Linked DNA regions of Lytechinus pictus. The protein of the gene in region 1 interacts with the protein of each later gene in a pairwise test. Links are inferred from orthologs where the notes say so. Each region holds a gene or a part of one and is shown in the gene's direction. Other genes may lie near its edges.

What was found.
Region 2: the proteins of coiled-coil alpha-helical rod protein 1-like (region 1) and kinesin-like protein KIFC3 interact in binary tests that used the Homo sapiens proteins (3 or more experiments, as listed by UniProt). The link is inferred for Lytechinus pictus from reciprocal best matches to the Homo sapiens genes CCHCR1 and KIFC3.
Region 3: the proteins of coiled-coil alpha-helical rod protein 1-like (region 1) and nucleoside diphosphate kinase 7-like interact in binary tests that used the Homo sapiens proteins (3 or more experiments, as listed by UniProt). The link is inferred for Lytechinus pictus from reciprocal best matches to the Homo sapiens genes CCHCR1 and NME7.
Region 4: the proteins of coiled-coil alpha-helical rod protein 1-like (region 1) and mitotic spindle assembly checkpoint protein MAD1-like interact in binary tests that used the Homo sapiens proteins (3 or more experiments, as listed by UniProt). The link is inferred for Lytechinus pictus from reciprocal best matches to the Homo sapiens genes CCHCR1 and MAD1L1.

The regions. Positions count from the first base shown.
Region 1 is NC_087259.1:8,053,506-8,061,027, reverse strand, and holds the start of coiled-coil alpha-helical rod protein 1-like, read left to right. Parts: upstream 1-4,456; 5' UTR 4,457-4,976; coding exon 4,977-5,034; intron 5,035-6,894; coding exon 6,895-7,021; intron 7,022-7,522. Other genes in the region: probable palmitoyltransferase ZDHHC24, read right to left, coding at 3,056-3,907. UniProt on the Homo sapiens protein: May be a regulator of keratinocyte proliferation or differentiation.
Region 2 is NC_087246.1:61,474,532-61,482,470, forward strand, and holds the start of kinesin-like protein KIFC3, read left to right. Parts: upstream 1-4,849; 5' UTR 4,850-5,169; intron 5,170-6,828; 5' UTR 6,829-6,953; coding exon 6,954-6,977; intron 6,978-7,939. UniProt on the Homo sapiens protein: Minus-end microtubule-dependent motor protein. Involved in apically targeted transport. Required for zonula adherens maintenance.
Region 3 is NC_087260.1:9,045,605-9,053,264, reverse strand, and holds the start of nucleoside diphosphate kinase 7-like, read left to right. Parts: upstream 1-4,624; coding exon 4,625-4,747; intron 4,748-5,818; coding exon 5,819-5,985; intron 5,986-7,218; coding exon 7,219-7,259; intron 7,260-7,660. Other genes in the region: RING-box protein 2-like, read right to left, coding at 17-135, 1,964-2,011, 2,903-3,128. UniProt on the Homo sapiens protein: Possesses an intrinsic kinase activity. Displays 3'-5' exonuclease activity with a preference for single-stranded DNA. Does not seem to have nucleoside diphosphate kinase activity.
Region 4 is NC_087254.1:35,629,270-35,637,081, forward strand, and holds the start of mitotic spindle assembly checkpoint protein MAD1-like, read left to right. Parts: upstream 1-4,540; 5' UTR 4,541-4,812; intron 4,813-7,348; 5' UTR 7,349-7,371; coding exon 7,372-7,447; intron 7,448-7,812. UniProt on the Homo sapiens protein: Component of the spindle-assembly checkpoint that prevents the onset of anaphase until all chromosomes are properly aligned at the metaphase plate.

The DNA.
Region 1 (7,522 bases):
GTCAAACAATCGCTTTACTCGAAGCATCATTGCAGAACAGAATAAGCAAAACGTGTCTATTTTACATCTTGAAAGTCAAATTTCTCCTAGGTCAAACAGATTTCCTGGGTGCCAACAGATTTGACCTTAGAAGGGTCACCTGCAGTATGTTTACACTGAAATAATCATTGGGTTAACCTACAAATAGCACAACCAATGTTCATTGCATAAAGTAATATTGGATCAAATGCTTTTATATAAAGACTATCTATACAAAAGTAAAACGGCTTTGAGAGATATATATTTTAGAGTAAATTGCAATAAATCAAAGGAGAGGTTCGGTGAGTGGTATCGTACTGTCTTCATTAATTTTTATGGCAATTGCATAAATGTATCAAACAATACATATAAAAAGAAAAATATTAGGCTCACATCCCATTGTGCTAATGTCGAATGAAATCTGTATCTAATTCTTATTGCATATTTTTCTATAATACTTACAATTTACATTTTGTGTTCCGTTCATGCTAATGTTTTACAGAGAAATTTCCATATATTTCATGATGTCTAAGTAGCGTAAAAAGTGATTTTGATTCAACACTTTTGTATAACGATGATTCACTTTATGATTCTCATGTCAAAATGGTCAGTAAACATATTGACTTAATTTATTTTGTACATGTAGGTCTCCAACTCTTTACATACGGTATATATCGATAAATATACTAGCATTTAAATTCTGACAATGTTAAAATTTAAGTGAAATGTCTGCTTTTATTTTAGTACATACCATATTATCTGCCAGTAAAGTAGTAAGCAAGAGTCCATCATCTATTCTAAACAAGAACTTACCCTGCATTTTGCATAAGGTGGGTTTAATTGCATACAAACTTCTCCACACCATGGCATTACAAATCTACTTTCACAAATTTCATCCTAATAAGTTGGTGGAAATTGGATTCTTCCTGCATATACATATATTCTGTATAGAATCATTTTTTTCCTCCTCTAATTTTCAACTAACGTATGTGCAGCACCAAAGAATCTAATAGGTTAACAGATTTTGTTTTTTGTTCTTTGTCCAACTGGGTACCTACATAATGTACAAACTGTCTACCTAATGTACCAAACTAATCATCCGTCAATCTAGAATCTAGATTATTTTTTTCAATACTTATCAATATATATCAGAAATCTGTTAAATTTTTACACAAACAGCATACTTGTATAATTGCTTATCTTGTACAACTGCAACAGCTTTGGCAAGTCTCTTATAAATAATTGACATTATGTATGGGAGAATATAAGTATAGCAGACACAATAGTGCTCCTCATACTTGATCCTTTACACCATCTGCACAAAAGGTTGGAGATTTTGATTTACCTTTCAGTACATCTGACTTTAATAGTGGAGGCATGTTATGGCAAATTAATAGCAACATCGATCTGGCGCTGCACAGTGGCTACCGGGCCCACAATTAATTGGGCAAAACAAATTATATTCAGAGGATTTTTATTTCAAACAATAAAATCTGGATTTTCTGAACAAAAAATGTATTAGAATCCTAACTCTAACTCTATGCCCTCTGAGATAATAAGACTGGACCAAATGTCGCAGGAGCAAATGCCGTGACGCCCCAAGAGAAGGAGTACTTCTATAAGACACCACACAGAATCGAGGCAAAAAAGAATATTGCATGTATGTCTACATTCCAATATCGTGGTATAATCACTACTGAATTATCAAAATCTGAACATATTGGTACATTCTAAATATTAAATTCTGTGTAAATTCAATAAGCCAGCTGCAAATCAAGAATACTGTTTTATGTCCAAGGTATATATGGAAACCAAAACGAAGCACAATTACATGTCACTATTCAAACAAATATGAAATACTGATAATTCAATTGTAAACAATGATTAGGAAGATGATAATAATAATAATACTACTTAATGATAACAATGAGAGATCTAATCAAAGTCAGAGACACATCTTTCATGCTGGAATTTCCCATCTCTGTTTCCCATCTCTCAGATGATATCATTGCATTATTCACAATTTTCCCATGTAATGTATGTTAACTTTGTATGTGCCTCGTTTTGTTTTTTATAATGAATGGAATAAATGCTATCAAATCAAATCCAATCTATTCTAATCTAATAGCTAGATGTATCTGCAGGCAAAATAATACAAAGGAATGTCACCAAGAAAGATATATTGTTCCTTTGAACCTGCCTACAAAAGCATAGCCTAGTGTCTTTCATGAATGGCGGTTTCCTTGTTTGTTTTGTCTGCTGTTTTATATGGGAATCCTATTCGAAAGATGGCTCTGAATTTAGGTGAGGGCTTCATATCAAAAACAAAAAATGATAACATTGATAATGAATAATAATTTAGCAGTGTGAATAGCCGAGATATCAAGCATTGTCCCACTGGTGTAAATTCAAGCAGTGAACCTATTGATTGACCAAGGGGGAAGGGGGGGGGGGGAAGTGAACTATTGTTTCATCCCCCAACTTGAATGGTATGGCATCATGTATTAATACACCCATGATTGTCTCTAACTACATACGGGTCTTTGCTTTAAAAAAATCCCAACTTTTCAATGTCATAACATTGAGAAGGTATTTACCAGTATTTACATGAACCACCAGTTTCACATTTTCCCGATCCTGGTTTACACCTCTCTGCCTACAACTCTGCAATCTATGCCTTCCCATTTGAGATGAGGATGCAAAAGCAGCACAATATAGTTTGCCAAGTTCTATAAATGCACACAAAGTTAATTGTACATAGATGCTGATATTACATCTTCAATAATTTACAAATAATTGAAATCCAGAAAATATCTGCAACGTGACATAATACATTTTAAGTAGTGTTGACAGAAATTTCACGATATTATTAGTAGGAATTTGACAAATCAATGAATATTGAGGCAATTTCATATGATTTGTACGTAATAAATACAAATGGTAATTAATCAATACAAAAAACATCATTGCAAGTGAATTAAAGTTTAAAAAGATCTTCTGTCACTGTAGAATGAAATGAAAACATGTGTCAGGTTTGTCATATATCTTTCACATTCTCCAAATTCTTATCTCTCTTCACAAAATGGATGCCATCCCCTGGCAGTGGGGATGAGATCCACGGCCACAACCAAATCAGGTACCACCTGGTCCCGAAGACGTCCAGCAGGTTCTGACACCAACCTCGGTTGTACCGACGGATCCCTTTCCGCCATTCTCTGGTGGTCTGCCCTCGAAGGATGAGCGCTAAATGGTAGTAAATCATTCCCAACGATAACATGAGGCAAATAACACAGGTGCTACACTGGAGGCAAGTTAGGAAGGAGAGAGACTGCGTGAATCCAAAGATCCATCCAATGACGGGAGCGAAGAACGTAACGACCACTCGCCAATTGAGGCTGTTGAGCATCTCGTACGTGAACTCAATGTTCAGGTAGTTGGCGTAGAGGGCGCCAAGCGCAAAGTACACCAGCATCATCATGAAGTAGCGCTGGTTGTTGTGTCCTACGCATTTTCCGGTGTACAGGCAGTGGTGGTCACGCTTCAGGACACAGATGTTGCAGATGAAACAGTGGGATGCCCGAGGGGGGCTGTTGATCATGCAGGTAGGGCAGTAAGTCCAGTCCGGTTTTAGAACCGACGGGAGGATATTTGGTCCCGATGTCAAGTCAGTGGCAATGCTCAGGTAGAAGTTGCCGATGAAGTTGAAGAAGAGGAAGAGGCCGATTGATAAATGGATGTTGTAACTCTGGGAAAATGGCTCAAAGAGGGTTGGAAATACTACATATAACTCAAAGAAAATCTCAATTATCAGCTCCAGCAGAACAAAGGCCACAGGAATCTTGTCACCAGTTTTCTTTGGTATGAGTACGTCCCATTTTATCATGGCCATGATATTCCTGAAGCATGGATAGGTGATTTAGATGAATTTTGAGCTCATCTGACCTCTAGGGTTTCTAAGAAAATATGGAAAATGAAAAGAAAGTCCAATAGTCAATAGACTAATTACAACAATTCAGATACAATGACCTAAAAGTAAATTTGAATTTCAGATATTAGTAAGCATCACTTAAAATCTTCCCCTTCTTGCATGTGATATTTCTGAATTTCATCACCACAAACTTCACCACAAACATATTGTAACAGTGTATATCAGTTGAATGTAAAGTGCTGGCACTAGTACAATTTGCATTTGACTCAGATTTTCAGGGTTGGGTTTCAAATTTCATTCAGCCTTAAAATTAAGTAAAACATGTTAAGGATTAGACTTCGTTTGGAGTTCAGTGGCTAGAACTAGATTTTTAATTTAGAAAAAATATTACTTAAGAGCCAAGTTATATGATGGATAGCTGTAATGGAAACTGGCAGTGTCAAAAAATCAAGCATAATTTGTCCCCAAGAAAAAGAGAAAATAAGCCAAAGCCCCAAAATTGGCATTGCTAACCTTAATCATTTCATCACAAAGAGAACAAAGTCAAAGAACAGTTATAGTACATAACCTTGTTCATTGTGAATGAGTGATTAGATTGTGACTGAAATTACTACAACACAACAACCAACCTGCGAATAGCCGCTGATCCTCGAATACCAGGGGAAGAACAACAAAGAAGAAGAAGAAGACTGATGAAGTTCAGACTCAGAGTTCGTCAAAAACTCGCACAATTCACAATGATGACAATCATTTGAATACTGACACGTATTTTAATACGTGGGGCAATGCTTAATTTCCAATGAATTCTTTACAAATTATTTGGGGAATATGAATATCGATTCACTCCAATTCGTTCTTAAATCATAGACTTTATTAAATAAAATGAAATTTAATGGTTTACCTCACCAACTTGTTCAACAACTCCGTCTGATGTCCGTCAAATAATTCTTAGACTTTCATTTTAAGCCCGCTCGTCGTTGACTGATGTCGGATGATCAATGAGAAAAGGCGATGAAGCTGAAACAAAATAATGGCGGGACCTTTGAAAAATCCGGCACATTTCATGAAACCCCCTAGCTATGGCGTTGGTAAGTATAGTAACAACATTATAAACCAGTTCATCATATTTCATGATGTTTTTTTTATTGAATGTTTTTGCTCGTTGTATGTGAGAAACTTTTGAAAAGTTCGTGAACTGAGTAGCGACTTAGTGCCATAGTGGGGATGTTGGCAGCCGCTCTGGTTAAGCAGCAAACCAGCGCCCAGCCTCGACCCGCCGCCCGGCCCCCGGCCCGGCCCGGCAGCCGGGCAGGGCGAAAGATTTGAGTTCTGAAAAGTGGGAGCGTTTCATCAACATTCTTGTCTGACAAGTTGTCAGATCTGACATCTTTCCTTAATACTGATTGGCTGAGAGTCTCTGTTTCTATGGTAACTGTCGGATAAAATGGGACTTGTCGGATAAAACTTCCGGCAAATCCTTTTTTAAGGCTTTAGTTTCATGAAACGCTCCCCTGTTCTCTCATGGTATTTATAATTAAAGTTAGATGGCAAATATAGCGATCTTCAACGCTTATATAATAAAGCGTCAAAATTTGTAGCCATCTCCTTGCATTAGTCTATATTATACGATGTGTCAAACTGAGCCTACTCTCCCGCGCATATCGTTTGTAATACGTAATAATTTTAATGCGCACAAGGTGGTCGGTTTCAAAAGAGGTGGTCGATATGTGGTGGTCTCACTATAGTATAAGGTACATAGACCGTGTAATGAAACGCTCGGGAAGAGCGCCCTACAGCGTTGAGTAAGTAACTACCTTTTTGTATCGCGAGATGGTTGTGTACAAAACATATGAGAGAAATGGTGAAGGGGTGAAGAAATAGACGATTTTTACATTTTATAATTTTTTCATTCAATTTTTCCCCCTTAAATTTGAGATGAATATATTTCAGAGGTTTCTTGGTACTATTAAAACATGGAATTATTCCCATGTGAGCCCTCTCCAAACTCCCCTCTCTCATTTTCCCCATATGTTTTATACACAGTCGCATGCCGATAAGCGAAGGTTTACTTACTCAACGCTGTTGGGCGCCCTTCCCCATAAGCATTTATCGAGCATTTCAAAAAATCGTCGAAGTGTCCGATCTTCCCCTTGTACTAGTATCTTTGATACTGAGAATGAGATACCGGTACTCCTAAGAAAAGAATGTAACATTATGACATTGATCACCATGCACCACAAGAAATGAAAGTGATGCAAAATAGAGCAGGAGCAAAATAAAAAATTGAAATATGCATAAAGGTCTATAGATCTACCGTAGAATCTATTTCCATGGATTGAGATCTTCTCAAGTGATGGAACTGAACCTAGCTGCATGCTGCCCCTATTCAACCTCTTGGCTAGTAGGATCTTCAATATCAAATGATTAAGATTTATTGATACACAGCCTTAACACAGATACACATAATATGCTTTCACCATAAATAATTGCTAAATACCATTTACAAAACATTAAAATATATTTAAAAAAGGCCGCAGAGCAACCCTGTCCTTGTATATGTATGCAAAATGAAAATTTCTATACACTAGTTACAAAATAATATCTTCTTGTCACATTGCATTTTGGTATAAATATGGAAAGTTTTATAATTTACCAAAAGAATAATCTTTTTTGACTGAAACCTTTTTTAGAAAACACATACATATAGTTGCCTTTTGCCTCTAAAAGCCCTCTATATCAATTTACTCTTTGAAAATTGAATTCCCTTTGGGAAGTGTTGCATTTCTATAGATGCGAATGAAGTCTTGTAAAATTATGAGTGTGTTATAGATCTATTACGCATTGTTGGTTGTTAATTTTGATACAATTGCTGATTAAATGTCATGTATATAATTTCCTAATTTTGAAGCATAATTAAAGTATATTTTTTGACATTTACCTATTTTTAGGTGGACCATCTTACAAGCTGCTGCCCCCATCAGCCCTAACAGTCCCAGCCAAAACAGCACCCAAGGTCACTGGAGTCTCAGGAGAACCAACAACTTCTCCGAAGAAAGCTAGAAAACAGTCCCCTCGGTAAGATCGTAACATTGATGTCTTTTATTCTTGGCTTGTTGAAGATTGTACTTACATGTACAGTGTATAATAAACAGCTGTAGAAATTGTTGATTTTTTTTTTATCGATTCAACATGCAACATTGATTCATTCTTAACAATTGAATAAGCCAGTATGTGTTCTAAAAGTCCTTATTTCCACTAAAAGTATTAGACTCATTGTTCAGTGCGTTATTTCTTTGATGATAAATATACATACACAATGAAGGGATAACACAGACATGAGAAAGATGTTATTGTGAGCTATCAAATTCTTTCCATGATATCACGGAAGAGTGTCATTTGTGACCTGCCACCCCAAGACCAACAATACATGTAAGGTACCCAAAATGAATTTTATTTTGAGATTTTCATTGAGCATGAATAAGCACACTTAAAAGTTGTAAAAATAAAATATAACTTGTCAAAATTGATCAACAATAACCCACACAGAGTGCTTGATTGAATGTTAAAGAAATTTAC
Region 2 (7,939 bases), on another chromosome or scaffold:
CTGCACCTGCTAGCTGTTTTGAAACCCTATCCAGCTAACCAGGACTCTGGATTTTAGGCTACTCCAAAATGTTATTAATCTGGTCTTGTACTTTGGTGGGAAAAGTGTGATCTAGACCCAATTAAAAGTTGCCACATATCAAGAGTGACATTGTGAGAAAGTACAGAATTCCAGCTTCTGATAATATAGATATTATTAACTTAAGACTCAAAATAAAAGGTTTTGCATGATTTGCAAAAGAAAACAGGGGAAGAAAATTCATGCCTGAAATTCACTATTTATCAAAATAGTCAATACAAAATAAATGACTAATATGAAAGAGGAACATTTACTCTGTCCAATGGTGCAATGATGTTTAATTTGACTTGATTATACATTTTTAGAGAAAAAAAATCTGATTCACAAGATTTTGCAGATGCAGCCATGAAAAAAAATTGGATAAATCTAGCATATTTGCTCATTAGCAGGGGCGTACATAAGGGGGGAAGGGGGGCTCTTCCCCCCCCCCAAAAAAAAAAAAAAAAAAAAGTTGTGACCAAGAAAAAAAAAGAGAAAAGGAAACGGAGAAGAGTAAAATATTTTATTTTCTGAATGTGAACATCTATCACAAAATGGATTTGTGTCATAAAAATGCTGAAATTTTTGCTCGCTCATATTTTCAGAATGCACATGTTGCACTTATTGAAATCATTTGACAATAAATACTATCGTGTATAGACAAGGGAGAAAATGGAAAAAAGAGGGGGTAATAAGGTGAAATATGATAGTTTTCAATAGTCAAAATCTATCCCAGAATCATATTTTATATCATAAAAAAGGTCACAAATTTTGCCCATTCACTTCTCTCCCTTGCATATATTTTTCACAAATTCCCGAATCTGGCCCCATTGATAATTTTGGCTCAATACACCACATAAAGTCATAAGTTGTAACTAAAGCCAAATATTTTGTTACCTTCAAAATAGTTTTATGTCAGCCCTCCCTCTGCGTCTCTAACCCTTCCTCTCTCGGACCTCGATCCTCTTATACCCTACAAAACTCCGTTAACCTCTTGCTTTTCTACTCACTCTTTTTTCTCTGAAATTGATAATCCTTATATATATATTTAGTATGTACAAAAGTCAAATTCAACAAAAATCATGAAAATACGATACAATGATTCCAGAAACAAAACATTTATGAAAGAGCATGCTTATATATTATGCTTATCGAATAGCAATAAAATAAAAATGACAATAAAATAAAAATGCAGGTGTCCATGCAATGATATCGAAGTACAGATTTCTCCGCTGTAAGTTTTTTTTTAGTGTTTTGGGTGATTTATTTTTCTCCTCCCCATTTATATCTCTGGAAATAAGCTTCTGAGCTTTCGTGGGTTATCCTGTTCAAGCATACTATTTGATGGATAAAATCAATTACTTTAGGATGACTTGGGAAATGAAATTAATCAATCAATAATATAAGTAAATCAATCAATCAAGTTATCAATCAATCAATAAACCGATCAATCAAACAATCAACCAACAAATCAATGATCTATCTATATACCTATCTAATTATCTATCTATATATCTATATCTATCTATCATTCTATCTATCTATTATTATTTCTAGCATCTTCTTCCTTGTATTCTTCATTTCTTCTCATATCTCAGTTGACTCTTGCTACTACTGTTTTTGTTCTACATGCAGTTCTCTTCTACGAAACGATTTTTAAAGTGGACACCCCTAGTAATTAATTCATCCTAGAAATTGTCGATAATGTTACCATGGTAACTTTCTTTTTCGCACGCAGCGATGATGAGCTGAAAATTCGGAGGCACCCCACATCAAGGACTATGTAATCAGGCGTTCGTAAAACATGTACTTCCACTTTTGGTGACGGCCTATCACAATATTGTTTTTCAATGACTATTGTCTGTTGCAAAGGTTGCTTCAGTCGTATAAGATAATAAGGAAATTCACAAAAGTACCCCAAAAAATTATGAGCAAATGAGGATTATAATGAGTCGAGATTTGTTTAATGAGAACTCAGGCTCACTGGTGAGAGGTGAGATTAGAATGGAAAAAAAGATGGGACCATGATCGGGAATAAGGGGGCCTTTTTAATATATATCATGGGCCACCACAGACAATGTTTGATAAACACATCCAAAACCGAAAAAAATAGTACAGAAATCGAAATTAAAAGGAAAATAATGCAGAAAGGGGTAATATTTACATGAATGATCTTTGAAATCATATTCAGAGATGAGACAACATTGAAATTCTGGGAATAATTCCATTCACAATAAAATATTTATAAAATTTGATTTAAATTTTAATAATACAGGAAGGGACACAGCCGGCCCGTGTGCCCCTTCCCCTTGAGAGCCATAATAAAAACTTGTAATGTATACCGCTTTTAGTGTGCCCCCCCCCCCTGAATGCTGTCCTAAATGTTTTATTAAAGGCATTTTGTGATCAGTAACTCATTATAACCATACTCTCGTGATGCAGCTGATAAAAACTTTGCAATAAGGCCTAACAGTGGAATTTGTCATGGCCATTCCGTAAAGGGGCGGAGTGACCGCTCGAGAAAATCTTTTGTTTTTAAAATGCATAATGGGTCAATTTAAACACTTTTTAATTGAAATGAACCCATTCATTAACATCGCAATATTAATCTTTTTAAAGGATGTTTTATTGTATTCTCTCAAATCAAAATACACATTCACATTCCATAAGCAAGTTGTACAAATTATTTGAAACATGATTATAAATTATGCAATAAATCCATAACCCATAGAATTATAAAAATTATACATCAAACTTCAAAGATACCGGAAATTAATACTGATGCGTTTCAGCAATTACAAAATGAAATATTAAATGACAAGAGAGGAAAAAATATATAAAAAGGTGATGTTCTACCTCCCACCCCCGCCCCCCCCCCCCCCCCACGTCCCCAGGTATAGGAGCACCCTCCCCTTTATGCCTACTCTACATGGAAGGGATTCCAATCCTCCGTATTGTTCTCGTTTTTTCTGTGTTTTTGTTTATTTATTTTTTGTTTTGTGGTCTTGTCTGTCGCTGTATATATACCTCGATCGATCCGCCTCACTCTCCCTATATATTCCTTTAATTTAGATTTTCCCATTTCCTTAAATGTAGAGACATCTTGCCTCTACCTATAACGCCACTGATTCTGATGATCGATTAACAAAATATCTCTTGGGCAAGGGGGGGGGGGCATAATTTCCCCCCTGGCCACGCAGTTCCGCCGCTGATGGCCTATATCCCTATATCACCAGCAGCAGCAGCAGCCTATCATCACCACTATCATCATCATCATCACCACCACCACCACCACTTCACAGGGCTCCCAACTCCCACTCATTGAGAGTGAGACTCACTCATTTTGGTCCTCTCTCACTTAAAGGGATGGTCCGGGCTGAAAATATTTATATCTTAAAACATAGAGTAGAATTCACTAAGCAAAATGCTGAAAATTTCATCAAAATTGGATAACAAATAAAAAAGTTATTGAAGTTTAAAGTTTAGCAATATTTTGTGAAAACAGTCATCATGAATATTCATTAGGTGGGCTGATGATGTCACATCTCCACTTTCCGTTTTCTTATGTTATTACATAAAATCATATTTTTTTCATTATTTCATACTCGTGTGAATAATATGTCTCCCTTATAATGAAATAAATTGCAGCAATAAATATTTAGTGCACTAAATCAGTTGTCAATCCAAAATTTCTAGTTCTTGGGAGAAAAAAAATTGAATAAACCTAATTTCATATAATAAAATACAAAAGAACAAGTGGGGATGTGACATCATCAGCCCACCTAATGAATATTCATGACAACTGTTTTCACAAAATATTGCTAAACTTTAAAATTCAATAACTTTGTCATTTGTTATCCGATCTTGATAAAATTCTCGGCAATTTGCTCTGTAAATTCTACTCCATTTATTAAGCTATAAATACTTCCAGCCCGGACCATCCCTTTAACTCAAAAGTTTTGTTTCATTTGCACGCGCATTTCTATCGATCTCACTATTTTGACCGACCTAAATCATGCCATTGTATGTTACACTCTCAACTCGCCCAGTGTTGGTACCGCTGTCATTATATGTATATTTCTATATAATAGCCCCGATGTCATGTTACCAAAGTGCAAGCCTAATGATCTTGTTCAATCGGCTTCTTTTAATTCCCCTCAGTCTTATGCAATTTTTGCACTGCCATCCGCTGGCCTTTTACCAGGGTACCCGCGGTGAGCTCATTTAGGCCTATATTTCTACATAATTATTTATACTTCTCTCTCATTAGGCTTATCTTACTTTTGAATTGACCCCATTTAATTTAGGTTATTGATTAAAGCCAATATTCTGTTTTATTACGTTTTCAAAACATCGTTTATTTTGTGAATTTTCGGCCTATAATACAAACTGATGAGGCACAGGGGTAATTTGTTGCACCTTATCAATTTTTGTTGTTGGAATTACGGGGAAAGTTATTTGGTGATCACGTGCACCCCGCTTTTATTATTATTCATTTATTTATTTATTTATTTTGGGGGTCAATGCTAGAAATTGTCATTCACAAAGGTAAGTACATGTAAAAAAGTTTTCACTACAAAATGGAAGTAAAATTGGTCTGGAGAAAAATTTGAAAAGCAAAAAAATAAAGTTTCACTACAAAATGAAAGTCATATTGGTTACATTATTCCATTTTTACACATCTATGGAGAATACTACACACAGCACCTCAAGGAAATTTTGTTGTGCTTTCACCCCCAGCACCCCCGCTTCCAAGGGTCATCCCCCCCCCCCCCCCAAGCTGATTCCTATACAGGTATGCCGTCTTCAAATTCCAAAGTGATCGGCTGGCGGATACCACTGTATTGTACCACTGATTTTCAGTTCAGTGTATTGTACACATCCGGCTTCTTTATTGCCCTCAATCCTCATCGCCTCCAATCAAAAGCGTCTCGTCTCCATAACTGCGATATCGCTAGGAACGCTCAGGATCTCCTGTGCGTGTCACCGGCAACGCAACCGGCCGGCCCGGTCGATCGAGCTTTTACACTCGACTCGTGAGGATTTGACTCGAGACCAGTGCGGTGACTTGGAAGCCAACTCTATCGAAGGAAGGAAATATTTATTTGCGTGGTAAGTAGCTCTCAAATCATAATAATTTAAATGTAAATGAGTTTCGCATTAGTTTCATGTCAAATTGTATTGCTTTAGAATCCGGATATCTCGACTTTTCGAGTATAAGGATAAAATTTATAGCAGAATACTTTGGTCTCGAATCAATATCAGCTCAGTGCAGTGTCGAGTGTGTGCGACAGTGCAGTTTTGTCTTGGTAGGATAGGATGGGGGGTTGGGTGTCCGGACACTATATTTTTGAAGCCTTCTTTTTTGTCTTTGGATTACCCTAAAAATATGAATTCAATAGTTGTAATCATCTTCTATTTTGTTCTCTATAATATTTCCTACATTTTGTACTAAAAATTGATGAAACTTCGCCTGTGATTTTTTTTCAAATGACTTCCTAAAATTGATCGTCCGGACACACAACCTGTCCGGACACACAAAAACTGGGTATACTGTCTGTATGGGGATTCGTCTGTATAGCCGCCTCAATTCTTGAGGCCGGGTTGGCGATCAGCTCTCAATAGATTGCACTGTCTGGAAATGGAAAGATGCCCATATTTTAAAAGAAAACCTTGAAAGTATTTTGATGTATACTTATAGTGCATGTATGTCTGATATCTGTATCGGTGGAATTTATTTGTCATCCTTGGAAGTTGGAATACTTTTAGCCTTTAGGCACATGATTTTTATACTTGTAATTTATTGCATTTGGCCCAGTGTTTCCACTTTTCCTGAAATTCAGGAAATTTTGACTTTTTCTAGGAAAGGTTTGGGAAATGAAAAAATTCTGGGAAATCCAAAAATTACAATTCACAATAATTAAACGTAGCAACTTTTAATATTCATGTAGCTCAAAATTTTCTGCTCGCGCTCCGCGCTCACATTTCATAATTTTTTTCCTATTTTAAAAGAGGGCGTACACAAAAAAAATGTACCTTGACTTTGATTTCCTTGATTTTGGTCACTTAGACCAAATTTAGGCTTGCTTTATTATTGCCCTACTTGTATTTTTGTTAAAAATCAATCTTGAAACTTCAAGGAAATGTCTATGAATTTGGGGAAATTTGGCATTCAGTTTCTGGAAATTTGTTTTGGATCTGTGGAAACACTGATTTGGATTCAGTCCGTCTTTTTGACCCAATTCGTTCTTAAATGTACCGTATGTTTAGCTAGCTACCATTTACTCTTCCAGACCAAGTGAATAGGCCTATAAGTCAATTTTTTTATCCTTAAATTCTGTTGAATTACCGGGGTAAGTTTTTTTTTACGGAATAAAAGGTATTGATTCATAATTCTAAAAAATAAATTGAATCAAGCAAGTTTGAAAGTGGGATGCAAACCCATATGTACTACATGTATGCCTTTTCATCAGTAGGCCTTCAGTGAAGAAATCTGACCCGACAATGTTATCGCCATGATTGATGACACATTTGTGGACTCTATATCCTTGGTAGCTAGGCTTGGTACTGTAGGACTTGCAAATTTGAGGATTACTACTGGGCATGTCAGCCAACAAAATTTAGTTTATTATATCTATAGGTCTACATGTATAAAAACCTAATAGCCAGTGCATATACATGTAGGATGATCGTGTTCATCTTTCTTGAGTTGCAGATTCTTGTGTCCAGCTTTCTGTCTGCATTATTTCCTATTCTTGATTTTTCTTGTAGATGGTGTGTTCGTGATGATGATCATACATGTATTGGTAACAAACGTACCGAGTATGACTTGATATCTTCAAAGTGCATGTCAGGCTTCAATAAGTGTTGATTAAGAAATCCATCAGATCCTCACCATGTATCATCATACTAGTCCCAGAGTAAGTACTTCATTTCCTTGTAATTACTTTTTCTCTTTTAAGCATCATATCACCAATATACAGGGATGTAAACTATATGAATAATCATGAAGTGATTGATATGTGGATATTTATTTTCATATGGATCAAAGTTACTTCTCTGATGAATTAATTTGATACATGCTGTATAGATATAGTAAAAAAGACAAACCAATAAAAGCTTATCCGGCATGTTGTTAAAGATTGAATTATAAGTCCCTATTACTATTATTTTGTCTATTAAAGTGGAACAGATGAGAAGAGAGAGATGCTGTAGATTATTGGTTGTTTGATCAATATAATTTTTTTTCGATGTTTTCATAGATATTGAAGCACTCTTGCGATAGTTTCAAATGCCTGCTTTTAGGTTAATTTCCCAGTAATTACTAATTTTCTGTCAAAAATATTATAGAAATTATGATTTTTAAAGAAATGCTCTCAAAAAAGAATTTGGCCCCGATTTACAAATGTGAATAAACTTTTACCTAGATGGAAGCAGAATTTCATGTTTAAAGTGCACTTGATTCTGCTCTTTGAAAGGTCAGATAATGCATGCATTCCTTTGATAATGGGTGCTAAATTTTATGTCCATTGACGATGGTTTGTCCTAGAGATGATTAATATTATTGTAAAGTGTTTTTTTTTAACTGTAAGTTTATGAAATGATATATTGATGGCTTTAAACTTACCGACACTCCCTCCCCCATTTTTTGGTTAGCTGTGCATTCATGTATTTAAAATATCTCCCTTGGATATTAAAATTTTTGGACTTTGTGTTTTTAATGGACAGAACACCATTTTGAATGAACAAAATCATTTAAAATGTATGAAATTTTGTGTCTTATTATCTAAAAATGTGAAACAATTACTTAACCCTAGCAATAGGTGTAAATTTGCCCAAAATGCTAATTATTGGAGCTTTTCAAGTGTGGGTAATTATCAAA
Region 3 (7,660 bases), on another chromosome or scaffold:
GAAGGGTGTGGTTGCCTCACTTTCCTATGCGTTGAACCATCCACTCCTGCTGACATAGAGGGCAGCGGTTGTTCTGCTTGACCCAAAGCGACATGCAGCAGTTATGGAAGGAATGATTGCACTCGCCCCACACAACTGCATCAAAGAGAAAGAGAAGAACGGATGAAAATAAGAGGAAAAACATGCAACCTACAGGAAGCTCTACCGAACAAGACAAGAGAAATGCATGTAAGTTGAAACTTAAAGGACAAGTCCACCCCAACAAAAAGTTGATTTGAATAAAAAGAGAAAAATCCAACAAACATAACACTGAAAATTTCATCAAAATCAGATGTAAAATGAGAAATTTATGACATTTTAAAGTTCTGCTTAATTTCACTAAACAGTTATATGCACATCCTGGTGGGTATGCAAATGAGGAGACTGAAGACGTCATCCACGCACTATTTCTTTTGTATTGTATTACATGAAATAGGGAATATTCTATTTTTCTCCTCATTGTCAAGTGAAACAACGATTAATTCCTCCCTGAACATGTGGAATGGGCATTGTTTAAATACTATATGATTCAGTCAAGTTGGTCCTTATTGTCAAATCTATACAAAATGAAATATTGTTTAATTCAAACAATAAAAAACAAAAGAAATAGTGAGGGGCATCATCGACTGTCTCATTTGAGTTGTGCATACCACTCTTTTGTGAAAAATAAGCAAAATTTTAAAATGTCATAACTTTTTTATTTTATATACGATTTTGATGAAATTTTCAGCGTTTTGCTAGTTTAATTTTTCTCTATTTATTCAAATCAACATTTTTCTGGGGTGGACTTGACCTTTAATAAAATTGAACAAAATATGGAGGGGACACACTAGTGTATCCAGCATCAATTAAGACAAAGAAATGTATGGGCCCATGCACAAGCATAATAGAGTCCCTATTGTCCCCAGACAATTGGGCCCATGAAATGCTTTGTAGAATCTGATGCTGGATATGCGCCTGGGACACGAGGAAACTGAGAAAGGGCTGGGGGGAGGCTTCATCGGGTAGCTTGAAAAGATAAAGTTGAAAAAGACCGGTAAAGGGATTGATACGGAGATGTAGAAATAAGAATTACATGGAGATACTTTTACACGGGGGGGGGGGGGGGGGGGGGGGAGGGAGGGCATGGCAAGAAAATTATTGGCAATTGGATGTGCATTTATAAAACAGTTGAACTTGAAACTATGGAAATCAGCTAATCAATATCAATTGATTTTTTTTTACATTTTCAGGCATGTAGTGCGTGAATTATTAAAATAATTGATAATTGATTACTAGTACAACTTTCTTGCAAATGGCCCTTCTTGTACATGTAATATGCATACATTGCACTCAGCAGCTCAATTCATGAGATATCACTTCAGAAAATGCAGAGGGCGACATTGCACTTTCAAGTATGATAGATATGAAAATTAACCAAATATTCTGGACATTGTTTTGAAAAGGACAGAATTAGAATAATAAACCCAATTATATTTAAAAACCAAATCAATACATCTCTGTTTTAACTAATTATCAACAAGTTTCCATCTGCATAACATTTCATTACCTATTCCTGCAAAGCATGAAGATAAATAAAGAAAAATGTCAAAGAATGGTTTGATAGAATTAGCCTGATAAAATCTTTAACAGCTTCCTTACATGTATCAGTATTACCCCTACTTTAAAAAAATGGGATAAAATTAAAACTTAAAATTGAAAAAAAATATAAGAAACATGTACTTTGCAAATGAAAAAGCAATACCAAATATCCCACAGAGTCACAATGAATTTCTGTCACAGTCACTCTCCTATTTAACAAACTTTGTTAACATGATTTTGATTAAATTATAGACAAGTAATTTTCCTCTTATAATTCACATCGACTTCAGGTTTAGGTGGACTTCACTTGGCCTTTACATTGGAATATGACCGATTGGCTTACCGACACACTCTTCTTGTTTGTTTTCTGTTTGACATCTTAGGCAGGCATCTGAAAGAAAATAATTACATATGTTTATTGTGAGGTTTTGCAAACTAAGCTTGCTGGCAATGGAATACTCATACTCAATACATGTAGCACAATTAAATAAATGAAAACTTGGCAAATAGACTCAAGCACACGCATTTTAAAGGAATATCAAACATGACTGAAGAGAAGAAATACTGCCTTCCTCATCAAAATACCTGAATCATAATCTAGTAAGGTGAATGGATGAAGAGACATGGAGCACAATGATCAGTGGCATACGAATGAGAGGGGGCTGGGGGCACTTAAATTAATTGCCCCTTCCCCAAAAAAATTTAACATCACAACCATGAAAAAAAGAGACAAATTTATGACCACAATTCACAAAAAAGAAGAGGAAAGAAAAGAAAGGCATGAAGAGTGAAATATGATATTATTATCTGAATATTCTTTTTGTAAAAATCCATAAAAAATTGGATTTTTGTAATAAGTGTCAAAATTATTGCTCACTCCGACTCGCTTCGCTCACTCCGACTCGCTTCACTCACTCTCAACTTTATGAATTTTGTCCGATATGCCACGTCTAACATCTGGCCCCCTCAAAATTTTTGGCTCATGTCAGACATAATTAATGGGAATGCATTACGGCGGTACGCCACCGGCCGACAATCATTGTTTATTTCAAAGACAAAGTGAAAGTGACTGGCCGGCGTTTATATTTTCAACGAAGATAAAATTTATTTTTAACATATAGCATAGGCCTAGATTGATTCTCTCACTTTCTCAAACTCAGTCCGAGTCTCAGCTCAGTCAGTCTCACAAAAAAAATGAAAATATATACCGGTATATTATATTTTTTTAATTACAATTTAGATTGAATTGTGGAATGTGGGCATTCAAAAAGACAACACCTACCCATGACTTGAACCCTGCAAATTGCACAAGTATCGCATTCCACATCCCAACTCCACATCGCCACAATGTTCCATTTCTTCAAGGAAAATAGTCTCTGGTTCTGGTCGGTACTTTTGGGGTTCGCCGACGTCCCAGTCCCGGTTACCGCTGGCGTTCCTGATGGACCGAGACCCGTAGATCCCCCGCTGCCAACTTCCGGATTTGCGGCAGGTCGAGGTATCGACATCTTACTCGTTGTTTCTTCAGATTCACGTGAACAAGCTAAGAAGAGCAGTGCACATACACTTGTGTCGATTTATTGATGATGTTTCATGGATTTGATCATTTCAATTACCGTTCACAATCAAGAAAATACGTCTTACAAGTCTCTGTTTTCGTCTCGACTTTCTCAAACTCCTATAATTTAATTAACGAAGAGGGCGCGCACCTATCTATAACGGTGCCGATAAGTTTTAAAGACTTGAATATTATTACTTATATTTTGCTTGATTTTTATATTTTTTTACAATCAATTATTACAAAAAAAATAATAATCCATTACAAAATTTTTGTTTATTCAAACGCAAATTTTTTAATCCTTTTTTTGTAAAAAAAAAAATTCTTAATCTGACCCCACTTTTGATTTACTCAAAATTTGTTGCTTGACAACCTCAAACGAATTTTGCAGCAGACCGTCTCAAACTTACTTGTTAGAATTATCGAACTTTCCACTTTTCAGGAGAGAAGACTGCTTAGAACACAAGCTTAACAATGGTGAGTGTTTATAGTGGCTACTGTATCAAATAAATATGTAATATATTCATTAGTTGCCTATTTCCACTTATTAACTTGCAAGCTGCGGAGCTCGAGCTGGAGCCGAGCGGCATGCGGAGGCGGAGCTCCTCCGCCGAGGCCGAGGCAAAGGCTCGCTTGCGCTCGAGGAAGTGGAGCAGGGGCCCGTTTAATTTCTCAACACATGGACAAGTTATATCTTTATCCACCAACCACGGAGTTAGTTCCAATCTTACTAAACCTGTTTCATCGAAAGTCTTCCTAACTAGACATGCTAGAATTCCTTGATATCGATACTATCGGTAAAAAGAGCAAACGAGACGTAGCCTTAGGCTTGCCTTAGACAAGTTTAGAGTCAGTTAGACGCCGTCACAAAATAGCATTATTTTCAAAAAGAAAAATTATGGCAAAATTGCAAATATTATGATGAATTGGTAAATAAATCTTTTCAAAATACTACTTACTAGCACAGGTAAATTATGCATCATACATACTTAGACCATGAAGACTGGAGCATTCAATTGTAGAGAAAATTAAATTATGAATAATTCATTTCATGACTAAAAAATCACTTGTACAGTTGTGGACGTTCAGATGGGTACCCCAGGGAGACCCAATTTTAATAGTTTACAAAAGTAAACCATAACGGTCTTCTTTGACTTTGTAAAATGATGATAATTATACGGACTTTTATGATTCCAAACGTCATCAAAATATAGTTTAACGAAACATTTATAATCATTGATACCGAAAGATACGATAAAGATTACTCTCACCAATTAAAGACTAGACTCTGAGGGAATGGAGAAAGTGCGTACATTGCCTGCGGAATACCAGTATTTGATGAGTGGGGTAATCCTATATCTGTCAAGCACTAAAAATGTGGTTCCAATGTATTAAGCACTGTAAAAGTACAATAATTTAATATTATCAAATAACTTTCTTTTTTGCATGCAGGCAAGCTCTGCCCAAGATGGTCGCTACTCTTTCATTTGTGAATGGTACGACAACAATGCAGCTATTATCAGACGATATCAGTTCCTCTTCTACCCTAATGATAACACCATTGAAATGGTAAGCTTGTTTGTAATGCCTTGGTCATCTCATATATTTGCTAAACAAACAAATTCACATTTTGCCCGTCTCCACCCAGATGGCAATGGTTACTCAGTATGCATTTTTTTTGCATCAGATTGGCCCCTGTCTCAAACGCTTCCCCAACGTAGAAAATGTGCAACCCAAATTTGTGGGGATTCAATTTTGATGAATGAACAGTTTCATGAATTTGATGACATGACTGTTTATTGTATGAAGGGGAAACCTTGTAACTTAAATTATTTGATAAAATAAAATGAAGTCAGATGTTGTAACACAATGAATTCTGATCCAACATTTGTCCAAATTTTTGATATGAGGAAAAACTGTCGCACTTTTGTTTAAAAACCTCAAGAGTTTGTTGAAGCTTAAGAATCTACACATACGTGTATTTCGGCACTTGATATTCCTGTCCTACGTCTGGGACTTGTGTTGCAAAAAGCTGAAATAGATTAAAATCTAGTTCGAATTGCAATTGATGCAACATTTTCTACGGTACACCTATTTAGATCAATCACAAGTTGAGTTAGATTTTAATCTTTCTCAATTATTTTTCAGACAGGTTTAAATTTATGAATAGCCTCTGAAATTACTGAATCAAAAATACAGTTAAATTTATGAAAATCAAAGCAAATCCAATGAACAACACAACTGTCCATCAATTAAAAATCTTCCATTCACATCTGTTTACTGTGTTTAGCATGTATTCAAAATAAGGGTTTTTAATCCGCATATATAGTGCTTGTATTATCTATTAATTGCAATGTTTTTCTAAGATTTACTTGATTTACAAAACTTATAATGATGAAGCAGCAATCTTTATATGTTTTGTACATATCACTGAAGAATTTGAATTTTACAATTATGGCAAACCTTGATTTTAATTTGCATAATCTATATAAAAACAGAGAAGTAACAGCCTTATTTATTTCCTTATATTACGCTAAAAATTGTCAGTTTTATCTTAATTTGTTCAAATGATAATTGTCATTGGGATGACTTGGTCTTTAATTCAATTAATTTGAATCTTGTTTCCTTCTTTTTTATCAGTATGACCTAAAGAATAGACGTCAGTTCTTGAAGAGATCACATTGCGATTCAGTCCATCTAAGAGACCTCTTTGTTGGCAGTACTGTTAATGTTCACTCACGTCAGCTGAACCTGGTTGAGTATGCTGATGATTTCACGAAGAGAGCGCTTACAAATGTCAAACAGAAGTAAGTATTTATAAGCAAAAATAACGAGTTGCCATATTTGGTCTAATTCTAATAATCCTTGCCATTTGGTCTAATGCCAGTTTGATCTCATCTTACATGTACACTAGAGTTTTTCAACATGGTATCATGCTTGGGAATTGAGTAAATCTAAAACTTCATAATCTTCTTGTTTTTTTTTTCTTCTAATCTCTCAATGTTTCCTCTATATGTTTAACCCTAAACGAACTGGACTATTTGAGATGTACCTGTACCCTGGACTTAGGGGGGGCATGATGCCCCCCTTTTTCTGATCTTGGCCGCCATTTGCGCGATCACGCCAATATTTGGCATGCACATTCCTTACCACAGAAACTACGAGCCTACAGGTATAAAAAAATTCTGAAAACAATTGTTTTATTTATTATGAATAAAGTATGTAAATTTATTTGTGAAAAACATTTTCATATTTAACACCCAATTTCACTTCAAATTTTCTTCTTCTTTTTTCCAGATGTCACCTTTGTAATCTAATTTAAAGGTTTCCACAAAGAAAAGTTTTGAAAGCCAATTTTTGTCTCGCCTGCGAAGCAGAGTGAGACTATAGGCGCCGCTTTTCCGACGGCGGCAGCGGCGTCAACACCAAATCTTAACCGAAGGTTAAGTTTTTTAAATGACAGCATAACTTAGAAAGTATATGGACCAAGTTCATGAAACTTGGCCATAAGGTTAATCAAGTATTACTAAACATCCTGCATTATTTTCAGGTCACATGACCAAGGTCAAAGGTCATTTAGCGTCAATGAACTTAGACCATGTTGGGGGAATCAACATCAAAATCTTAACCTAAGGTTAAGTTTTTGAAATGTCATCATAACTTAGAAAATATATGGACCTAGTTCATGAAACTTGGACATAAGGTTAATCAAGTATTACTGAACATTCAGCTTGAGTTTCACATCACATGACCAAGGTCAAAGGTCATATCTCCCTTAGACTTACGGTACACATATACCCGTATGTTGCGAATTTGGTCTCAAAAGTTGCGCGAGGTTTCAAAGAAAATAGTCAAAAAAATTTGTGGCGCTATCTTTTTGCGTTTCAGGGTCGTCATGCCCTAATCAAGTAATTTAAAACTTGTTTTCTACTTGTTCTTTGAAAATCTCTCAGTAATTCCTCTAGATCTTTTTTTTATGGTTAGATAGTAGCCTATATTGTGGAATACAATATGATCTATTTCATTTCATTCTTTTTCAGGACATTAGGGCTGATCAAACCTGATGCCATTTCAAAATTTGGTGAGTATATACAAACACTTATTTTTCATACATTATTTGTTTTGTAAATTACTAAACTAAGTTTGTCTTTTGAAGACAATGGTTGACTTAACGAAGATCTTGTTTTACAAAATCCTGAACTTTTATTCATGATTTATGTAATGTTGTTCATATGGATTAAAAACAGAGTGCACAGTGCATAGCGAATGCAGAGTGGATTTGATGCTTTAAAAGTTATGCCATCACCATCATCACCATCATTATCATCACCATCATCACCATCGTCATCATTATCATCACCACCACCATCATCATCATCACCATCATCACCATCGTCATCATTATCATCACCACCACCATCATCATCATCATCACCACCACCAACATCATCATCCATATTCATCATCCATAATCATCATCTT
Region 4 (7,812 bases), on another chromosome or scaffold:
ATAGAAAAAAGTCTGCTTTGCCATAATTATAAGGAGTAAGATAATCAAAATTTGTGCCGTAGAAATAAAATCATAGATTTTGAAAGGAGCATAGCTCTTAAAGATGAACGATAAAGTCACATTCTTCGTTAGTGACCATGATGTGACAAAAAATGTATGTATATATAAATATGTATATAAATATAAATATATATATATATTATATATAAAATAATGTAAGATACAAGACTATTAAGACGTTGCTGAAAACAATTAAGCCAAGCTTTCGGCATTAAGACTTCGTCGATGGCTCTGTAACAGATTAAAGCCGAATGCTTGGCTGTATAATTATGTTATGATTAATTTTTCTTCTTCACCACTCCTAACACTTTTGTTATATCTTTCTCTCCTTCTTTTTCTCTCTCGCACTCACCACATATCCACCATCACATACACCCATTCCTCCCCCCCCCCTCTTTATTTTCCAATAAGTCCTAATGCAGTTAAATACTAAAACTTTATTTGCTTTATTTTTCATAAAAGTGTGTTTGGGAAGAATAAAAATCATAGTCATGTTGGAGGTTTAATGGTGCGCGAGGAGAGGGGATTAAAGAAGAACAAGAATACTTATTAAAACCACTGAAATAAACAATGGGCTTTCGAGTACCATCAAATTTCGTTAAAAGGATACTCCGGTCTGAAAGTACGAATAAATAGAGTTGAATTTGTTTTTATTTTTATCTTTTATTATTGACTATTAAAGTTTAGCAATATATTTTGTGAAAACCGTTATTACGCACGTCATCATGAATATTCATTAGGTGGGTTGACGTTGTCACATCCCTGCCTTCTTTTTTCTATATGTTATTACATGAAATCAAGCATAATGTGTATGATAATGTCTCCCTTATTAAAAAAAAGGAAAAAAACAAGTTGCAGAAATTGATACGTAATACCCTATATTAGTGTGAATCCAATTTTTTGTCTCGGCTCTCATTTCTTTATTTTTGCATCAATTGTGTTTACACTTGGTACAAATAACCATTTGGTAATACCACGCATGTTTTCATGAGGATGATAAGGTAAAAAAGATCATATTGCATATGGCCTGTTTTATTGATCGCGATATCAGGCGAGACTCTTGGTTCGTGAACCACCTTGTTGTTTTATTCTTGAAGGAAAAAATTGAATTAACATATAAGTGGGGATACGATATCATCAGTTTGTTCATTGAATATTCATGAATACATGCATAGAAATATATACTGTTTTTTTATTTAATGCAAGTCTTTAAAATACCATAACTTCGTTATTCCTTGTCCGATTTTGATGAATTTTTCAGTGTTTTGTTGATCTTAATTTTCTTTATTTGTTCAAATCATATTATTTTCATCCTGGAGTACCTCCTTTAATCCGAAAATCATTTTTTTTTCATCACGAAGGTTCTAGGTTCGTAGTAGGCCTACAATAGATCTGATCCTATATAATAAACTACACAGAAAAAACGTTGGTTAAAATTTGTCTGCAATGATGTTTACTATCTGAACTTTACAATAGTTGTTTAATATAGTTTAAACAAAATAATGTTTAAAATCTTCAACAATTAAACTTTTTAATTTTCAATACTCAAATTAGGGCGTATGTTTTTTAAACTGTTAAACAATTAGGCCTATTGTAATGTTCATATACTTTTTGTACTGTGCTGTATAAGATTTAAACAGCAATTTTATTTGTAAGCCTACTAATCTTTCTTTATGCCCCCCCCCCCATTGAAGTTCGAATTTGCAGCAGCCTTTACACAATGAAACGATGTTACTAACGATGTGGAGCGTTGTGGCTCAGTGGGTTAGTCTTCGGACTTTGAAACAGAGCGTCGTGGGTTCGAATCTCAGCCATGGCGTAGTTTCCTTCGGCAAGAAACTGATCCACAATGTGCTGCACTCAACCCAGGTGAGGTAAATGGGTACCGGGGCGCTATGAACGCCTAGCTTAGCCGGGTAATATAGGAGCGCCTTGAGCACCTAACAAGGTGGATATGTGCGCAATATAAATTCCCATATTATTATTATTATTATTACTATTATAATAACCTCACAGTAGCTTTTTAACAGTTTAAACAACCACTGTTATTGAGAATTAATTATAAAAAATTAAACTTTATTGTTTAAGATATTAAACACCTCTCTTTGAACTGTTATATGCATGAGAGGGAGAGGCACAAAAATATTAGGGGCCGCGGAAGCGGGGTAGGGGCTTCAGCCCCCCCCCCATCACTTTTTTCCAAAACCGTGTAAAACGTAAAATTGACCATATGATTATGATTTTTTGCATGGTCAGCCCCCCCCCCCCCCCCCCCACTTTGAAAACCGTTCCGCGGCCCCTGAATATGGGAGAAAAAAGGGGGGGAACTCAGTTGGTGCAGACGAGACAGCATTACCAACACGAACAGTCGTGGATCCTAGATTTACCATTTTTTATTTATTTATTTATTTCGTTTTGTTTACCCAGGGTAACCCCATCAGTGGACTAAGCACTGTTTTTCTTGGGGGCCCTGCATACAAGTAACAAATACATGTGCATACATATAATAAATACAAACAATGAGAAACAAGGAAGAAAATATGTTCAAAGAGACAAGCAACCTGCAGGACATACAGACATACTGAAATACATGTGTGTATAAGTAGAACAAAAGTCAACATATTGTGCATATGCAAATCCATATAACTATATATTCCCTATGATCATATGATTATTGATTAAGTTTGTGTTTAAATATTTGTTTGCTTGTCCCTGGAACCAGCCAGATAGGGGTAGTTATTTTAATTCAGTAGTTTCTCGCTCTCCAATAAGATGTAGCGAAGGATTGCCTCGAGACTGCACTACGGGTACCACTATCCAGCTGGTTCCAGAGAATGGCAGCACTATGAGAAAAGGCCTTTTTTCCAGCCTGTGTGCGTACAAGCGGTACCACTACACCATTCTGGACTGAGTTTCTAGTTCTGTACGAGTGGACATTACTAGATCTTACTACGAGTTCAGAGAGATATATTGGCGCTTCCTCGTTAAGGATAATGTGCATTGTTTTACATCTATGGTATTTCCACCTTTCTTCAATCGACACCCATTTGAGTCTATGGAGCACCTGTTCAATAGGTGTAGAAAAATTAACTTTTAGGATTAGACGGGCCGTTTTCTTATGCTGTCTGATTAAGCCATCCTTAAGATACTGTGCACACATGCTCCAAGAATTACTACAGTAATCAAAGTACGGTAATATAAGTGAATTAGCTAAGACGTTTGAACTGTCAATCGTGAGGTATTTTCTAAGCCTACTGAGAAGAGCTATCCGTGAGCCAATCTTCTTCATTGATTCTTCTACATTCTTTTGCCATGTCATGGTATCATCCATCCATACACCTAGATATTTATAATTATTGACTCTTTCAAGCACGTGGTTATTAACAACTAGGATAATATCATCACAGGTTGGTAGTTTCCTGGGGGATCCAAAAATCATGCATTGAGGGTCCCGTGTCACTTATGGTAAATCGCTAAATGAAATGGCCTATCAAGATCATCGTTGTAATAAGCGCACTTTGTCTTTGTTCGGTCTGTAGACTCACTATGAACCAATCAGAATTGTTCTTTCAAATTAGCTATTAATCAGTAACCTTTTTGGGCGAGCCCTATATAGGAGGTGGAGATCTGGAGAGCGTTTCATGAAAGGACTTTATCCGACAAGTCCTGTTTTATCCGACTATTACTATAGTAATAGTACCTCTTAGCCAATCAGAATCAGGGAAAGTTGTCAGATCTGACAACTTGTCGGACAAAAATGTTGATGAAACGCTCCCCTGGTCCTTGTTTTCGTCTTTTGGGGGCAAAAAAAAAGAGGGAAAAAAATGAAGTGCCATCACCGGTGCACGGCGTTGAAAACGCGCCAAGTTGCTATGACCTAAATGACTTGGATTAGGGTCAGATGTAGCACAGAAAGAGTCAAATCTGACTTAATCGTGCCGCTGTTAGAGGGAAGTTGCTTTCTCCATTTAAATCCCAACAGACTGGCCATACTCCTCCACCCAAGCCCCCATGCCCCCAACGCCAATTTTGAAAATAAATGCGCTATTGTTTCCTAGCTTATAATAAATCAAGACAAGGGGACAATTTGAAGCCTCTGTATGTATTGATTGGTTGACTTGTAAAGCAGGTTGATTATTCTGAACAAGACTCTCGTAAGTTTATAGTATTATCACCATAATCTTCATTTAATAAAGAGAGCTAATATATTATCGTACTCATTAGTTTATTTCTGTTTTATTAGCAGTGAATTTTAGAAACCCCCCCGCCCCCCCCCCCAATAAAAAACAAATCCTCATATCAATTCTTATATAAGCTGGTAAATAATTGTCAGTGCTTAATGTCATCAATGATTTAATTCACTTTTAGATGGCATAACGGCTAGCTGGATTTAATCATATGAATATTTTGTTGAGAAAGAAATATAGGCCTACTTACGCGAAATTATTTTTTTTTCCAACCACACTGCAGCTGCAGCAGCTGCTTTTGTCGATTCAGAAGTCGAGCGCCCTCTATTTTTGGAGTACCGGACAGCGATCAGTAATTTGTTTTTGTGCATGCATGCTGAGTTCCCGGGTGCTCGACAAGCCCAACGGTTATAGCGGATCTACAGTTGGCTAGACGCCGTGTTTGCCCCGCACCCGTTGTGCAGCAAGCCGCTCATGAAAGTAGCCGAATGAGAAAGCAACCTGGTTATTTGTTGTTTGTACACAGCATGAGAGGAACTCTTCCCTTTTGATTTTCCTGTGACGTGTGAGTAGACGCAAAGTCAAGGCGGGAGGAAGTTAGGCCTATTTCGGTAGGCCCTTCGGCTTCGTTAGAATAAAAATTTAAAAAATAGGGCATAACTTTTTTGGGTCTTCAATGTTCAAATTTCAATTCAATTTCAATCTTCATTCAGGTCTTAACTAGCCAGGCGGCTTCTAGAGAGTAAAAATCATTTACTAACGTAAGGTTACTCTCATACGAAGCCAGGCCTTCTATCCCATAGACCCACACAATGGAAGCCAAAACCTGAAACTTTCACCCCCGAGATTTCTACTTTCCTTCTAAAACAAAAGATCTAGGCTAGCTCTAAATCATGTAGTGTACATGGGATAAAACTTCATTTCCGACATTTCTACGCTCTCATTGTTATTTTTAAAACAAGAATTCATTAAAAAAATGAAAAAATATTGTGAAAAGACGGAAGAGACTTGCCCGATGTTTACGCCGCCATCTTGTTTCTTATTGTACTTCCCCAACGTTACGCGACGCTCGCGTCCGTAATGTTGGGGAAGTACAATAAGAAACAAGATGGCGGCGTAAACATCGGGCAATTCTTTTCACAATATTTTTTCATTTTTTTAATGAATTTTTGTTTTAAAAATAACAACGAGAGCGTAGAAATGTCGGAAATGAAGTTTTATCCCATGTATGATGGGGGGACCTAAAGCTACGCACTTTGTTTCCAAACGATAAAAACTATGCCAATTGTAATATTTGAACAATTATTTTTCACTAATTTGTAATAAATATTCTAAATATCCTTAACCAAGAAGAAAATATCACAAAACTCACTAATACGAAAATCCCGCCGTGTTTTCCGAACACCTCTTAATTTCGCCGCCCGATGTAGAAGGGGTCCTAAAGCTATGACTCAATTTATCATGCAAAGAAATAGTATTTCCTGTGCCTCAATTTCTAAAATATGTCCGTATTATTATAGGAAAATATGAAATCAAAGTGAATATAACTCCGAAATTCCAAACATTTGCTGGTTTTCTCTGCATTTAAGGATTTATTGCAGCCTCTGTAGAAAAATTGAATAGGGATCGTTCGTCACAGCTTCACACACAGAGCTAGAGTGCGCATTTATTTTGCCATTGGAATTGCATGCGCGATGAGTGGTGCGTAGCTTTAGGACCCGCGTAGCTTTAGGACCCCCAACCATACATGATTTAGAGCTAGATCTTTTAGAAGGAAAGTAGAAATCTCGGGGGTGAAAGTTTCAGGTTTTGGCTTCCTTAGCTTTGTGTGGGTCTATGAGATAGAAGCCCTGGCTTCGTATGAGAGTAACCTTACATTAGTAAATGATTTTACTCTCTAGAAGCCGCTTGGCTAGTCTTAACTCTTACTTAGAGTCTAGACTCTTGGCCTTGGGCTTCCTCAAGATAGTGATGCTCGTGTAACGTTAACACTCAGAATTAGGTTCCACTCCACTTCACTGGAGTGGAACCGACACGAATATCACTTGAGGTAAAAAACTTAGATCTAGGCTTAACAACTGTCATGACTGTTGACTGTTGTTAGTGTAAATGTTGGAAATTAAGTTGTATTCCATTATACCATATTACCAGGCATTAACATGATTTAGATCTAAAGTTAGATATAGCCTTCTAGGCTTAACTGTTGTATAGTAAACTAATACTTGCAATACCGTACGTGTGAGTGGGGCTAGAGTTAGCCTTGAGGTGAGGACTCCATAATGTTTTTTTAATATTTTGACATATATTTCTTCATTATGGAGCCTTGACACTCTTCCCATAGATGCAGAAGCGAGACCTAGACACCTAGTCTTGAGGACTCCATGATGATATTTTATTTAATATTTTGACATATATTTCTTCATCATGGAGTCTTGAACCCCCGTCCATATATAAGAGACACAAGTACACAAAGATGGATTTCCCTAGGAAATCAATAGTTAGAGGGTGAAATCGGTTTGTAGGGTCGAATTTTATTTATCTATGAACCTTCAGGTGCCTAATGCGTATAAAGGGATAAAAATTATTTCACTATAAATGGTAAAAATGAGACGTTTCTTACCAGACCCGATCTCCTGTAGATCGCTCGATCCGTTTGTCAACAAAGCAAAGACAATAGACCTGACCCTTGAACCGCTTCGTGATGACGTACATCCGACTAGCGATGCCGTTTTGAAGAACAATTTATAGATAAAAATTATTATTTAACAAATACTAAAATTTAATACGTGATATTATAAATAATAAAAAAAATGTAATGATAATAATTATAATCACGTATTTCCTCAACTTTTGTTGATCTTATTCTTTCATCTTCCTGCTTTCAGACAAGTTTACTTGTCCAAAGATTTCATTCTCCTTTTAAAAGCCATTGGACATTGAGCCAGCATATATGTGGGTTCTGATTGGCTTGGGTCTGTAGGAAATGCTTGCATGTCATGCTCTAGTAGAGTTAGTCCCCAATGCAATACATAAAGCTCATTCATAGATTAAATACTCTTATTCATTGCATTTGGTAAAATAAAGTTTTCTTATATTTTCAGATAGGATAGTGGTTGAAGACAAGATGCAGAGCCCAGAAGACAACACGATGGTTGTGAGGATGATGGGGGACTTTGATCGCTTTATTGCGAAGGATATAGGTGAGTATCAGCTGAACTTACCTTTTCAGTCGGTATAGTGCATTTGTAATTATTTCATAGCTAAAAGGATTCTCAGAAATACAGTAGAGTAACTAAGAGCCACAAACAGACAGAATAAAATAATAACGCCCACGCAACTGCATTATGATTATAATGTTTACGGGCCGAGAAATTGAAGCGAGAAAAAAAAGAGAAATCCCGCTTAGAAATATTACGCTTATTTCAGTACTGACGTCCACTGATAAATCAAAACAACTCTTTGAAATGAGTTTCATTTTGCTTTTGAAATTTCCAATATCAGATATTTAGGGGTTCTTTGACTCACAATTCCTTAAGTATCGTGTAGAGCATTCAGAAAATATTCC